Mytilus edulis: one gene and its partner. The protein of the gene in region 1 binds, or shares a complex with, the protein of each later gene. Links are inferred from orthologs where the notes say so. Each region holds a gene or a part of one and is shown in the gene's direction. Other genes may lie near its edges.

The links. Proteins that work in one complex are often made in the same cells at the same time.
Region 2: the proteins of integrator complex subunit 4-like (region 1) and integrator complex subunit 11-like are in contact, whole or in part, in a cryo-EM structure (PDB 7SN8), measured with the Drosophila melanogaster proteins. The link is inferred for Mytilus edulis from reciprocal best matches to the Drosophila melanogaster genes IntS4 and IntS11. Residues at the interface, in NP_572488.1 of Drosophila melanogaster: Arg226, Ser227, Gly228, Gln233, Lys256, Phe259, Tyr260, Asp262, Ser263, Gln264, Lys299, Asp300, Asp301, Cys349, Leu351, Lys380, Lys381, Ile437, Glu441, Glu443, Phe444, Leu445, Glu446, Arg448, Asp471, Phe472, Asp475, Asn478, Glu480, Ile481; in NP_651721.1 of Drosophila melanogaster: Thr182, Pro183, Arg185, Gly188, Ala189, Trp191, Ile192, Asp193, Lys194, Arg196, Ile210, Arg211, Asp212, Ser213, Lys214, Arg215, Arg258, Asn287, Gln288, Lys289, Lys292, Thr293, Met299, Gln400, Asn404, Asn469, Ala470, Pro472, Pro473, Pro475.

The regions. Positions count from the first base shown.
Region 1 is NC_092346.1:94,729,776-94,737,042, reverse strand, and holds the start of integrator complex subunit 4-like, read left to right. Parts: upstream 1-4,210; 5' UTR 4,211-4,278; coding exon 4,279-4,332; intron 4,333-7,267. UniProt on the Drosophila melanogaster protein: Component of the integrator complex, a multiprotein complex that terminates RNA polymerase II (Pol II) transcription in the promoter-proximal region of genes.
Region 2 is NC_092356.1:73,124,260-73,131,966, reverse strand, and holds the start of integrator complex subunit 11-like, read left to right. Parts: upstream 1-4,565; 5' UTR 4,566-4,638; coding exon 4,639-4,666; intron 4,667-6,997; coding exon 6,998-7,009; intron 7,010-7,568; coding exon 7,569-7,654; intron 7,655-7,707. Other genes in the region: ceramide-1-phosphate transfer protein-like, read right to left, coding at 3,983-4,101. UniProt on the Drosophila melanogaster protein: RNA endonuclease component of the integrator complex, a multiprotein complex that terminates RNA polymerase II (Pol II) transcription in the promoter-proximal region of genes.

The DNA.
Region 1 (7,267 bases):
TTTTACTATGCAAGTCTCTGTTGGTTGAAGGTTTTACTATGCGTGTCCTTGTTGGTTCAGTGAAAGTTTTACTAATCATGTTTCTGTTGGTGTATGTTTTTAATACAATGCATGTCCTTTTTGTTTTTATACGCCCGTCAAAATTACGGGACGTATTCTGTTTGTTCGTCTGTCTGTCTGTCCGACGTCCACATGTCGCACTGTAACTTGAGATATGCTATGTAAGTATGTGAGATTTCAACTTTGTATTACAGGTTTTTTTATAAGTCAAAATGGACTGTTTTTATGTTATTTATATGTTTTTATATTCGATCAAAAGCTCCTTAGAGCTTGTGCTGCTTATTTGTACTTATGTCGAATCAAAATAAAGTTTATTAGAACCACTTTTCTCTAATTTTTGTGCTATTTTCACATTTCTGACCGGTGTGAGAAACATATTTTTCCTCACTGGTGAAAAATCTGTTCACGGCAAATGATTGGTTGAAATTTAATTATGACGTTAAATTTTCTTGTTTTCTTCTAAATTTGTTTATTGTGACGTCATGAAAAAGGCGAACATGCCTGATGACGTCACACCAAAAGTACACAACTTTCCTCAAATCATAAAAATCATTAGAGAAACAGATTCCACCACTGTAACTCGTGTATTATGATATTTCTCCACCCTCAACAGTTAAAGGAGTAGGTTCAGTAAGACCCCTTTTTGGCCCCAAAATATAGCAGTTTTACAAAATTATGAAATTGTTATCTTTTAGCTATTTAATGGAAAGTAGAATGCTTCTGCTACATAAATATAGGCTGTTTTTGACAATACAATGTACACATATCGGGTACTAGCATCATTTAGTCATGCTAAATTACTGAAATCTACACAATTTTAGCATTTTAGTTAAATTTTAGACGGTTTCCGTCTGACTGAAATGAAAGTGGCCGCATTCGTGTTCATTCATAATATTGAAATGTAAGTTGTATTTGATGATAATACATAACATATATAAAGGTTGAGGATGAACACGGATGCGGCCACTTTCATTTTTGACAAAAACCATCTAAAAAGTGACGTTTTTTGGCATATTTCTAAATTTTCCATATTTAAGCTTGAATCGGAGCGTTTTTAATGACTAAATCAGTTAAAAAACACTTTCACAAAAACTAAACAAATCAATTGAAATAGACACTTAAGTGTTTAAAAAATGTCCAAAATCTTTCGTCAGATGAACATGAAATTTGAGGCCAAAATCAGCCCTTACCGGACCTACTCCTTTTAATTATTAAGAAAGTTCGGCAAGCTTCTCGCTTTAAATATCAAAATTTAGATAGGAGAAATATATCGTTATACACTTTCCTCAAATCATAAAAATCATTAGAGAAACAGATTCCACCACTGTAACTCGTGTATTATGATATTTCTCCACCCTCAACAGTTAAAGGAGTAGGTTTTAAGCAATAACCATAAATCGTTTTTGAGATACGGCGCGACATGTGAAAAAAATCATTTGAAACAACTATGATTTTTTCACATGTCGCGCCGTATCTCAAAAACGATTTATGGTTATTGCTTAAAACTTTACACACTTGTTTGTTATCTTTATCTATTTAAAGATCTGTATAATTTTTTGGTGATAATTCAAAATTGTATTTAAGAGTTATTAAGGTTGTTTTTTTTTAAAGGGGGGTCACACACAAGACGAAGGACATATCATGCGCTCGTGGCGCACCTGTTTATTAAGGTTTTATTATGCATATTCCTGTTGGTTTTAGGTTTCAGTTTGCCTGTTTAAAGTTTTACTACGTGTGGTCCTGTTGATTTAATGTTTTACTTTGCATGTCACTGTTAATTGAAAGTTGAACTTCTATCATTTAGGTTTGTATAGTATTTCAAGCAACTGAAGTTATAATTTAACTTATAAAATAAAACTAAATTGTATTTTAAAAAGCTATAACTATTATTAAATTGTTTTGACAAATCAAAGCATATTTTTGTTCATTGTGTTGATTCACAAAATTACACTTTATAAATTCGTGCATTCGTTGTGCTAAACCGCAGGTTTTTAACTATAAACTGTGTGCATAAATTATCAATTCTGTTTAGAAAACACTATTAAAGTTTTAATAAAAGTTATTTAGTTGTAAAATGTATGACACTTCCGTGTCCTGATATTTATCAGATATGAACGCTGATATCCCCATATGTATCCGTGAATTACTTGAAAGGCACAAACATGGTTATATACCACTGCTTGATCTATTGTCAACGGCAGGAATTGTTCCTTTTTTTCTTGTTTTTTTTAATGACGTTAATGGTAAAACTATGTTTACTTTATTTGATAATCTGAAGAAAGACGGGATGCTTTCATAACCGGGAAGAAGATGATCGACATGCTTTATACGAAGGCACGCAAGAACATAAAAACCACTTTTGAAAGTATAAAAGGGGTAAGGACAATTTCCACTGTAAATTTGTTTTATGTACGAGAAAAGAAAATATTATTTATACATACATAGTAGCTAAAATGGCAAATTACTACCAAACATTTCGATTGGAGGTGCCATAACTGAAGATCCTCTTTAGTATGTCAGTATATATTTAATTTTTGATATCATATTGACAAGGTTTTGTAGAAATACATTTGTACAATTTATTAAATGAACAATCAAATATAATTAGAAAACAAAAATTAAAAAATAAGCAACAGAACCACAAAAAGGTTAAAGGTTAAGTACACACAGTTTTAATGACAGCAATAATTAGAATAATCCAAACTTTAAAATATTTGGTCTTGTGTATAACTATGTTTGTGTATGTCAAATGTTTTCTCTTTTTACAAAATGGACAGGTCATGCTTTTCTCTGACTGTTAATGACGTCTTTATACTAAATATATTGGATGTTGGACGTGTACTGATTGACATTTGAGTCTTAGATACATGATTTTCTTTATTATCTGTTATTGCCTTCGTAATTATCAAAGTAAATTTCATTGAAAGTTGTGATATGTTCATAACAATTATACAGCTTCATGTAAAATACAAATAATATACAAAACGGAATGCTAATGTAATGAAAACCTATAAAGGGTTCGTTCTTTATCTTTGAACCTCCAATGTCAATGCATGCCCATGAGTCGAGCTCCTCGCTCTATGTGCACCAACTCTTAGCGGGTACTATAGCGATTTCTGAAATATAAAAAAATGCTAACAAAACCAAAAAAGCGTCTTGTTAAAAGGAATTACGCACTGGGATTTAAAATCAGGTATTAATATAATGCAAAAAAAAAAGCAAAAGACCAGAAAAGACAGAAATTTCAGCCTGACGCAGCACTGCAATTGATAGATTGAAACGGTTTTCACATCAATAACATTTTTGTCCCCATCACCAAGATATTTTTTTTAAATCAAAAGCAGTCATAGCTCTGGTCTCATTTTGAAGGGGTATTTATGCTGCATGGTTCAGTCTGTCTCAAATCTAAAAGTCATAAGTTTACATTTTTGGTCTCGTGACCTCAGCAGTATATATATCGGAGGAAAAAAGTTTTTTGTTTGTTTTTTGTATTCAATAACGTGATTTTGGACACATAAATTTTCTTTTATAAGTCAATTCGAATATCTCCAGGGCAATTGTGCGTAATTTATGCGTTGAATAATTCAGTAAATCGCATGCTCTAGTGTTTTTCAATTTTTCTATTCCCCAAAAATCACAAGACAAAGGGCAATAACTTCAGTTAGACATGATAAATTATGATGTTTACCGAGGCTGTTCATGTGTTTCCCAATTCTGTTCGAAACATTTTAATTGCCTTGCAGCCTTTTTCACAAATAACTTAGAAATATGAAAATTGAAGTTCAATTTAATATAAATTCATTTTGTAACTCATAGTTATTTAACCTCACGAAATAGAAATAACATTTAATCAAACACAACCTGTATGATGGTTTTTATCAACCGAGATAGCCTGAAACTGCTTATTATATGCAGAAACCCTTGTATTCAATAATTTTCATAATCACACCCAAACCCTCAACCCAAAGAGCCTAAGAAATTACTTAATGTAAGAAATTTCTACACTTTGACACTGTATTGGTTATATATATATATTATAAATATGATAAGGAACAGTTTTGTTTACAAAAAGAATAACCAATGTTATGTGGTACAAATATTGCAAAAGTCCACAGGCACTTTAAAGCCTTTAAATTTAAAAAAAAAATAATTTTAAAATACGGAAATTTAAGTTCTTACCGGTTTTGTTGATAGTTATTATTTTCCCACCACTTCCGAATGGCAGCTTTGCTGAAGAAAAGGGCTGTTGCCGAATTTAGCCAAGTTATCCAGGTTATTGCTTTTTATTTTTCATTAACTTCTTACAACTGATATTGTCTATGTTACAATTATATCCGTTGTACTTAGCTAACAACTCGTCAGAGGTATATTTTTACAAGTTGTGTATCTGTAAAAATTACCGATGTAAACAATAATGTCAAAATCTAATATCAGATAACTTTTAAAGATAAATTCGAAGGCACTAGATAAAACATAGCACACAATATAAACAGATCAATTTGTGAAGACTGTAATTCATTGCTCTCCTTTACCCGCTATCTTTGATGAGCTACTACTTTAGATGACAGAAACTAATCCAACGCTGTACAGTACATACCTGTCAACCTCTGAAAATGAAAAGTCAGGTCATGACCTGCATTGAGAAAAAAAATCTCAGGTCATAAGGCGTACGACATTTTGCGGGCTCAATTGAAGAACAAAAATATGTTTACATATAATTTATATAGTCAATATGTATATGAAACAGTTAGAACATGTATACAAGTTTATTTCAGACTATTGTTATATTCCATAGTAGCAGACTTGGCATTCTTTAAAAGAACTGCACTTGGTTTCAGTTCAAAGCAATGCAAATGTGTATTCATTTTACAAGAAAGAAGAGCACACAGTGTATCCTTATTAAGATCAGCCCTAAACTCTGTAGCTATTTTCTTTACTAAAGAAAATGCCCTCTCACTGTCTGCATTGCTGTTTGGCAAAACCAGTAATGTTTTAGCAAGTTTTGACAAAACAAAAAATCTTGGCTTGTTAATAAAAATGTCATGCAACTTGGACATTTCTCCCCAAAATGTACCAATGTCAGTTTCAGGGGAAGTGCAAAGTGGAAGTTCATCTAATGGGGTCAACTGATAGTCACTGAACTCATCTTGTAGCTGTGTTGTCTCTTCATATCGTTACGTAGCTCAGGTAAACAGTCCTACATTTTGACTTTTGGTTACATTGAAAAAGACCGATAAAACCGAAGGTCGTATTACTTCTAAATACCGGAAACAATTCCGGTCAGAAATCCGGGTGAAACGGGTAATGTTAGAAATTCCCGGGACCCGCCGGGTAAAGAAAAACTCCCGGGTGAGAGGTGAAAATAACGGGTGTCACCCGCAAAAAACGGGTGAGTTGACAGGTATGACAGTAAACGTAGAAGTTGGCATATTCCCGCGTTAACATGCATTCCAAAACCCATTGTAGATGGGGGAGTGTTATGCCGAATAATGTCCAAGGGCTGTATCCTAGGTGTTAGATGATTGACCTTCATTTCACTGCCTAACGGCTTTGGTCCTGATAATGCTTCCTGTCATCTTTAGCACTACGTCCAAGACTCATCTACCAGTACTCTATCATCGGGGTTAGATGGCTGCCAAGCTGACCAAACTGGCCCTGAAAGCCGCCGTTGTGAAGAAAGAACATCAAAATAGTAAACATACCAAACCAAAGCATCTCATAAAACCAAGATGGCGACCTCCAAAATGGCGACCACCACCTGTTCCTGACCGATGGCACTAAATTATTCTAATGCTCACCAAATGCTTCGAGCACTGAGCCGACCGTGCGAGGGCTGTATAGCCAGTCAAGGTTGTTAAAAACTTCCATTTGTTGTCTGCTCCATGAATAAACACTGGATACAAATGTACAGATCTTGACTGAAAAGCTGTTCTGATGAGAGGCTAATTTGAAAAGATGATGAAAAGGAAAAAAACAAATTAACATACTATATATAGAATTAACCATATTTAAAAAAAAATAAGTAGATCTATAAACATGATAAACTCTTATATGTGTTTTTAAGAAGAATAAATAAACAGGTCATACATTTGTATATATATGTCACTTGGAAATGTCATTCGTGCAAAATCTCCCCTTCAGCTGTCATAGCTTAGAGGGAGATCTCCTTCTTTGAAGGTTTCAGAGGTTGGCAGGTATGATTATTAAATAATAATATATTATCGATTTTTTATAACTTTAAAATGATTTACAGAAATCAAATAAGTTCATAAAGGTCGTTTTAAATTTAATGTGTACATCGAACACGTCAGCGATTGTGATTTCTGTGCTCATCATATTGGATGTACACACTTAATTTAAAAAGTTTTTTATGAACTTACATTGTATCTGCTTTCTGTTAATCATTTATAAGTTATAAAATACATTGATAATATACTATTATTTAATAATCAATTTATAAAAGTCACTAATATGTGCTAGTATTAAAATTTCAAGTGTTATTCAGTCATTTGAGGTACCTGTAACCAGCAGAAAACAGCTCATGGCCACCGTTGTGTCGTCAACACAACCAGAAAATCCTGCATCTGCCCCCAGATGAGGGCTTCTGCTGGCCCCTAAACACTAATGTGTATAAATTCAGTAAAAATGGATGTCACATCACACTGAACTCTGAAATATATAAAAGAATCAAATTAAAAAAAAAATTACTAGACTATCAAAGGCAATTCATCAGTCAGGGGACTTACTTAAATGAGTGATTTTCTAAATCACTGATTCAAGTAACATTATATCCATAAAGGTTGGAAGTAATAGTTGCCTTTCTTTAATAATCACCTACATGTATTTAAGTAGTACAAAATAATCACTAGAAGAAGTGATTTAATTTTACTGTAGATTTAAATATATATATAGATTACTAATTTTCCAGGGACTAATTATGTTTCTAAACTTATCAGAACCAACATCTGTGTTGTCTAGGATGACCAGGTCATTTCAGGTGATGACCTTGTACTGAATCTAGGATAATGACATAAAAATCACTTGTTTAAGTATCATACCTCAATTTCCTTCTCAAAAGTCACTTCTTTAAGTATCATTATTTCTAATAACCCCCACTAATTTCAACACCCCCGAACAGTGAAATCTGAAAGATAAAACCTTGAACTTTACAGGAAAAATACTCCAACTGCTGGGAAAAATCTGTTAA
Region 2 (7,707 bases), on another chromosome or scaffold:
GAAGGTCATATGGTGACTCATAGTTGTTCATTTCTGTTTCATTTGGACTATAATTGTCTCACTGGCAATCATACCACATAAATTCCTCAATTATAACAGGAGTTACTTCCATTAGGCCATAGATTTGACTAAAACATTATAAATCATTTCCAAATAGAAAGATGATAGTATGTATCATAGGGAACATGTGTACTAAGTTTCAAGTTAATTGGACTACAACTTCATCAAAAACTACCTTGACCAAATGTTTTAGAGAACCTGAAACAGGACTGTAAGATAGAAGCACAGACCGAAAAACATTATCCCCATTGTGCATACAAACCAACTTTTCTACTCGAAAAATGGTATGATCCCGCTTTTTGTTTTGCCAGAATCCTGTATCCTACTTGACCCATTTCAAGGCCGTAACTAGGCATCTTATTTTAGTGAGGCAAAATAATTGAGCCGAGCGAAGCTAGGCGAATTTTTTTTTTGAGAGTATGAAATGAATGGTGCAAAATTCTGCATTCTAGGCATTTTTAGAGAGTTTGATAATGTTTTGAATTTGGACACTTTTTATATAAATTTTTCATATTTTAATACTTTTACAAACACCAAATTTTTAACAACTTTTTTAAATTTATATGTACGATAATCATCCAAATATCACTGATTTGAGTCTGCTGCCAGAACATAGAACATACATCGATTCAGTAGAGTTTTCAAAATTTTTCTATGGACGGTTCAATCAAATCGTTTCAGAATCATAATTTGATCTGCTGATATCCTTATGGCGATGAACATGGAGCATGACAAGACCGCACAATCTCTCGCCACTCATGCATGCTCTTTTCCAAGTTTTCAGCTGTTCCAGGGCAGTCTGTGTTTCTAAAGGTAGCACATCATCATCAACACAATGATCAATGTCTTCTTCCAATTCCTTCTCCATCAGCAATTCGGTAGCAGCATCGGTAGTAACAGTTTTGTTTGCAAAAGGGAATTAAGCTTTCCTGTGAGCACCATCATACGTGGTATTTTAGTTCCAGAATCTATAAATTTAGGGGTTAGGGTTTGGGGGTGTCCGATTCCGAAACCCCGAATATAAAGAAATGAAATTCCGTAGTCCCGAATAAGTAAAGACAAAATCCTGTGTTAGAGGTTCTTCGATTCCTCATTGATATCAAATTGGAATATGGGATATTCTTTCAACTTTTAAGGTTAAAGAAACATGGATAAAAACTAATCCTTGCATTCATGATTCATATTATTTATATTTCATTTATCTGTAAAGAGAAAGTTTAAAGTTCGTGAAATGAATAGATTTGTCAAAAGTTGGTGAAACGGAGAAATGAATACGCAGACAGGACTGCCCCCTTCCGAAGACCAGTACTTTATTTGTCAGTCTACTTATCGTGTTTTGATTGTTCTAATGAAGTTATATGCAATATTCAGACTCTGTTCACAAAAAACTAGTTTACTAGAATTATTCCTTCTTTACCTTCCTTTTTCTGCAAGAGCCTGTTTTTAACTAAAGATCCATGATGATTATCGTTACTAGGTTAATGTAATCGAGAAACATCACCCGTTGAGATGCTGAATTATATACAGGAAGAATAGTTTAATAAAAGGAATGATGACAAGTTATAGAAATTAAGGTTGAGACAGAACAACAAATGACTATTATATTTATATATATATATATATGTATTAAAAAAAATAATCATTGTCGAAATTTTAGTGAGGCAATTGCCTCACTTGCCTCAAGGGTAGTTACGGCCTTGCATTTCCATAATAGTGCATGTAATTTCCCTGTGTTCTACCATGTCTACCAGACTTTATTTCCTGTTTTCATGCTTAAGTTTAATAAACTTATATTGAGATATTTATATGATGCCAATTCTTGAAAATCATGAAAACACATGCAACAACAAAAATAAGCGGCTAATATTTCAACAAACTTAAATATACTCTATACAAATACTATTAAGGTAGAAAAATCAATAAAAAAATTCATTTAAAAAAATAGGGAAAATTTCACGAAAATTTCATTGAAGATACTAATCATGCTAATGAACTCCAAATAGATAAAAAAAAATCAGACTTTTCAATTTTCTAGCATTTGCGTAGAAATCCTATTCCTTTTTACACCTTGTTTTAATGTTCACCTCACAGTAATTATAATTGACAGATCAGCAACTCTCACATGTCTGCAGGTTCTTAAATAAACATAATTAAATAGATCAATTGAAGTTCTTCTACACATGTTGTCATTCTGTAGTCTGACCATCAAACATGTACTTGTTAATAAATTAGTTATAGAAACTGGATTGTATTATTACATAGCAAATATATTACACACCTCATTGTCATGCGACTTTGAGTAATTTAGTAACATATACAGGAAGTCAAGGAACACAATACCAATTTCATTTGTAATAATTTGATCTTTGTCTTTGATATGAATAAACATCACCTGAGTGATGATCGCGTTTCTTTGTTTACATTGAAAATGACATCATAACTAAAATAACATCACAACTAAAATCCCTAACAACATGAACAACAGAACCAAAATCATAACGTTAGGTATTTCTGTTTCTTTTTTAACAGATTTTAAAGTAACATGTAAAATATGTCTTAATTAAAAAAAAAAAATAATTCATACGCTCAATAGTCCATTTGCCAATTACCGATTTGATTCTATTATAACACACTTTTTAAACAAATTACTTCCCTTTGTCAAACATAGACTGGTTCCATACGGGACAAGCGTTACCTTTTGCCAATGCAAAGCATGATGAATTGAAAGTGATGTATCGGCGGTTTAACTAATTTATTACGAAAAATAATTTCTGATGTCAAAAGTATTTAGCTGAACAACAAATAAATGTAATTAAAAGATTTAAAAACCTTAAAGATTACTCACATTACGCACAGGTAAATTTTCTCTGTCTGCTCTCCATTGTAAATAAAAAATAATGTCCGTCATAAGGGAGACAACCAAATTAGGGATCTCTAAAAACAGGGTCAATTACGGGAATTGGCAAATAGCTATATAGCCTATTCATACAGACTTCGTACCCTTTCAGAGGTAATGCTAGTCCAAATAATTATGACAGCATAAAAGATTTATTTAAAGTCGGTTATACATATAACAATACAAAATAAGCTCTGTAGAGCTTTTATCCAACATCAGAAGACTAATATGAGGCAGGCATTACCTGTAAATGGGGACGAAGTCTGTATGAATTATTTTTTGTAACTTAAATATTTGTTAAAAAAAAAAGAAACGGAAATACCGTAACGTTTCCGATTTTGGTTCTGTTGTTAGGGATTTTAGTTGTGACGTTATTTAAATTATGACGTCATATGCAATGTAAACAAAGAAACGCTATCATCAGGTAACGTTTTTTCATATCAAGGAATTATTAAAAATGAAATTGGTATTGCGCGTTCCTTCCTATTTTATACTAGACTGATAAATATATATTTTACTCAAAGTTTCATACAAACGAGACCGGAAAAAGAAAGTACATTGTACATTTCTGCGCATGTCCGGGATTTCAAAACATGACATAAAAAAAATTGAACGATTTTGAGTTCATTAGTACAATGAAAAATTTGGGAAATTTTCCCGTATTTTTTTTTTATTGAATTTTCTACTGTTATTGGGGACTCCGTCCCCATATTATAATTTTTTTCTTTGACTCGAAGTAAGGCGAAAATTATAATAGCCTTTCAAGACGTCATAATTATTTGGACTAAGGTAATGCCTGCCTCATATTCATGATATTAAACATTCTGCAAAAAGACAAATGTATATATATAAAAAAAATAAAAAAAAAAATAAGGGCGAACAGACACAGCAGGTATTAGGGCGAACATGCATCAGGGCGAACGGACCCGGATTCCACATATAATCTATTTACATGTCAATTATTGGACTTGAAATTGAGTCGAAAGTTTCTGTAAAAATATAGCCTTGACCATTTAAATAATTTACTTTGATAATTCTTCGTATGCATTCACATATTCGTCCATATCAATCGTGTCGTCATCTTTTATACAGCTATGGAACAACTTATAAAGTCGTTCGATATCAAAACTGTCATGCGATGCCATTTTGTTGGAAATAATATTTTGTTGTCTCTGTAAACAAAGCAAGAGAATCTTGATTAGCCACGGTAAAAAAAACGTTAGTTAAAACGTTGTTGCGATGATAAAGTAAATAAGAATTGGCAGGTTTGTTTCTTTTGAGAGTATTTTATGGTATAACTATTTACAGGATTAGATTTAAAATAGCAACCTGTAACAACCAACCCTTTTAAAACAAAATGACATTCACATACAAAAAGAGCATTAAATTTGTTTGAGTTTTGTTCTATGTTTTGCTTGCTTCATATTGTGTTAATTTCTTGTTTTACATTTCCGTCGTATAATTTTTCAGACATGAGAACGTTGTTGTTTTATATTGTTTAAAATTACAAATTTATTCACGTATCTTTTATGATTCTATAAAAGTACAATCTTTCTAGAACATAACTTGGTTCTGACTAATTTTAGAGCGAATACGGTTAAAGTATTCCGGACGTATCATGCTTCAGCTCAAAAAAGCAGAACTATCTCCCAAATTCATAACATAAAGATAACTATTTGAAAATGACAGAAATTCGAGTCACACCACTAGGTAATTTATGTTGTCATTCCACAATATGTACAGAAGCATTAATCAAATGTCACAGCTTTCTCTGTTACTTGACCAGTGATCTGAGTCCAAACAAAGTTATGAAAATAATTATATCATGCCAGTCAGCAGTTATATCAATACATTGTTTGTGTACCTACCATTGGGGTTATGCGTGATGCAGGATTGGCAGAATTTTTTAAAGCGTGACACGTGAAATAATTAAGCATGAAAACGGGAAACAATGTCTGGCGGGACACCAGTCCAAATAGTTATGACGTCTGGCAAGGCTATTTTAATTTTTTTTCTGGGACGCCTCCCTACGACGTCCCAGAGAAAAATTAAAATAGCCTTGCCAGACCCCGACGACATAATTATTGGGACTAGCGGGACACGGAAATAAAATGCACTATTATGGTAATGAGGATCGCGAGCGGATACAGAATTTTTATTAAACAATAAGCGGCATACACGTAGCCGGGGGGTTCGGACGACTTGAAAACAAATAAGCACTGTTAAAGTCAACTTTCTGTTCGAATTGTGACTGTTAAAGTCGAGTTTGTGATTTGTGAGTCCAAATACCCCCCCTCCCCCCCCCCTTGGAAATTCCTGGCTACCAGGCCTCTACAATAACTTTTTTTTCAACTTGTCCAGTAGGACAAGTACATACCAAAACTTACTTGTCCGAATGAAATTGTAACTTGTTCCAAAAAAATCTTAAGAATAACCTTTTTTGTATTCTAATGCAATTTGGATGTAACAATTTTTTTCATTGGCTAAAAGTTGCCGTCAAATCCACAGTTGACCAGGCGTAACTAAGGAGGGGCCCGCCATTTTGAATTAATAAATCAACAAATGTTCGATTACTACTATATAATCGAAAATAAAACAACAGCTACCTCGAATTCGCCGTTTTAATGTAATTTTATCCGAATTTGAAGCGTACGGGTAAAATAATAACCTCCAGTTTGTAAGTTTTCATTTGAATGACGTCAGGTTTAGCCATGACGTCTTTGTGCCAAAATCATTCATGAAATTTCGTGTATTTTTTTTTATTTGACAAATTTAGACATTTTTTCAAGTTTTATCGCATTTTTTCTTTTTGTAATGCATTAGAATCGGAATAACAGTACTGTAGTTGAAGAGTTGCCACCGTCAATTTTGATTTGACGGACGCAAATATCGTTTTACTGTCTCCGCTACGCGTCGCCAGTAAAACTGCATTTGCGACTGTAAAAATGAAGATGAGTTATCATTGCCAATGAGACAACTCTCTGCAAGAAATTAACTATAGGTCACCGTATTGCAAGTATTGTTTTTTACTACATAGGATCAAATATGATTTAGTGAATTTAAAAAAAAAAATACCGGTATAATTTATTTTAAAGCAACAGAATAAGGTAGAAAAACGATGTACAGATTTGTCTTGGTCCCGATATGTCTGTGTTACCAAACTGTCTATTAATCATGTCTATTAAATATGTCTCGTAGGGTGCCAAACTGTCAATAAAACTTGGAGCCGAATCGTTTCGGAGCTGGTGACAACTGTCTTGTAAAAAAAAAGTTACGTTATCTGCAACTGATTCGGATCAGTAAGACTGGTTTACGAGAATAGTATGTCTTTTACCTGTTAAAAAGTACCTGACAAAGAACCAGTTTTAAATATTTGATTGCAAGTAAACATGTCAAATTAAAACTTTATTTTTCTCTTCTCTTCTTGTTTTATTGTTTATAATTACTTTGTTCATCAAATTTATTTTCTGCAGAATAATTTTACTTGTCCCATCGGACAAGCTTGATATAGCTTTTACTTGTCCGACCTTTTTTTTCCCTGGTACCGGACAATCGGACAAGCGTTATTGTCGAGTCCTGGCTACGGACCTGAGCGGGATTGGAGATCATACCCTACCAATGAGACCCCCTTGTATGGGTTAGGGATAAATTACGAATAATCTTTTATACACAATAAATGAATAAATTGTAATATTTATGTTGATAAAATAGTGCTAAAACAAAGAATGATCTATGTTTATCATGTTTATTGCATTTATTATTAGTTGGTACTCATTGAATCGTTAAAATCAATGTATGCATATACATGTATCATGAATATATAATTTGCACCCCCTTCTCAGAAGTCTCTCCCAGCATTAACATCTGTATACATGTACTATACAGATCCGATTATGGTAATTGAATATGAATACTTTATTTAAAACCCCTTAAATGCCAGATTTGATACTTAATTTGGCATCTGTTTTATGTGACAATATATATAACTTTAACTACTTTTTGTACACGTAAATATAAATTCATTATTTCATTTTCTTGCAGGTGCAGGCCAGGGTAAGTTTAAGAATACTAAACAAGCTGTAAATAGTCAATGGTAGCCTAAATATCTAGCAAGAGATTATACAAAATGTAGATATTTATATACATGTATATAAACATGATAAATGTATCTACAAAATATAATTTTACCAATATTAAAAAAGTGACATTATTTTTAAAAAGAAGATGTGGTATGCACATGATGCATATAGTTGCCAATGAGACAACTCTTCATGACAAGAGACCAAATAACATATATTTAGAGGACTACAAAATTAGACACAAAATCAAATTTCCTGATATAGATGGTATATTTGGAGCTTTTTCTTTGGAATTAATGTCACAAAACTAGAGCCATACGTGAAAGAGGTGCCATTTTTACTAGAAAATACTCAATATATGTATCCATTGGAAACAATGTAATAGTGAACATGACGAATACACTTTTAACCTTACAAAAAAATATTGATTTTAAAAAGAAGTCCTTATGATCATATGACATGCATGATAGACTATTGAAATTTTGCATCAATATTAAATTATTTTATTGCTATTTTATCTTCACCATTTACAGATGTGGGTAGGAGCTGTATCTTGGTGACAATTGGTGGTAAAAACATCATGATGGATTGTGGTATGCACATGGGTTATAATGATGATGTAAGTCTATTATAAAGTTTACTGATTGAAGTGCTTCTCAGTGGCAGATAAAG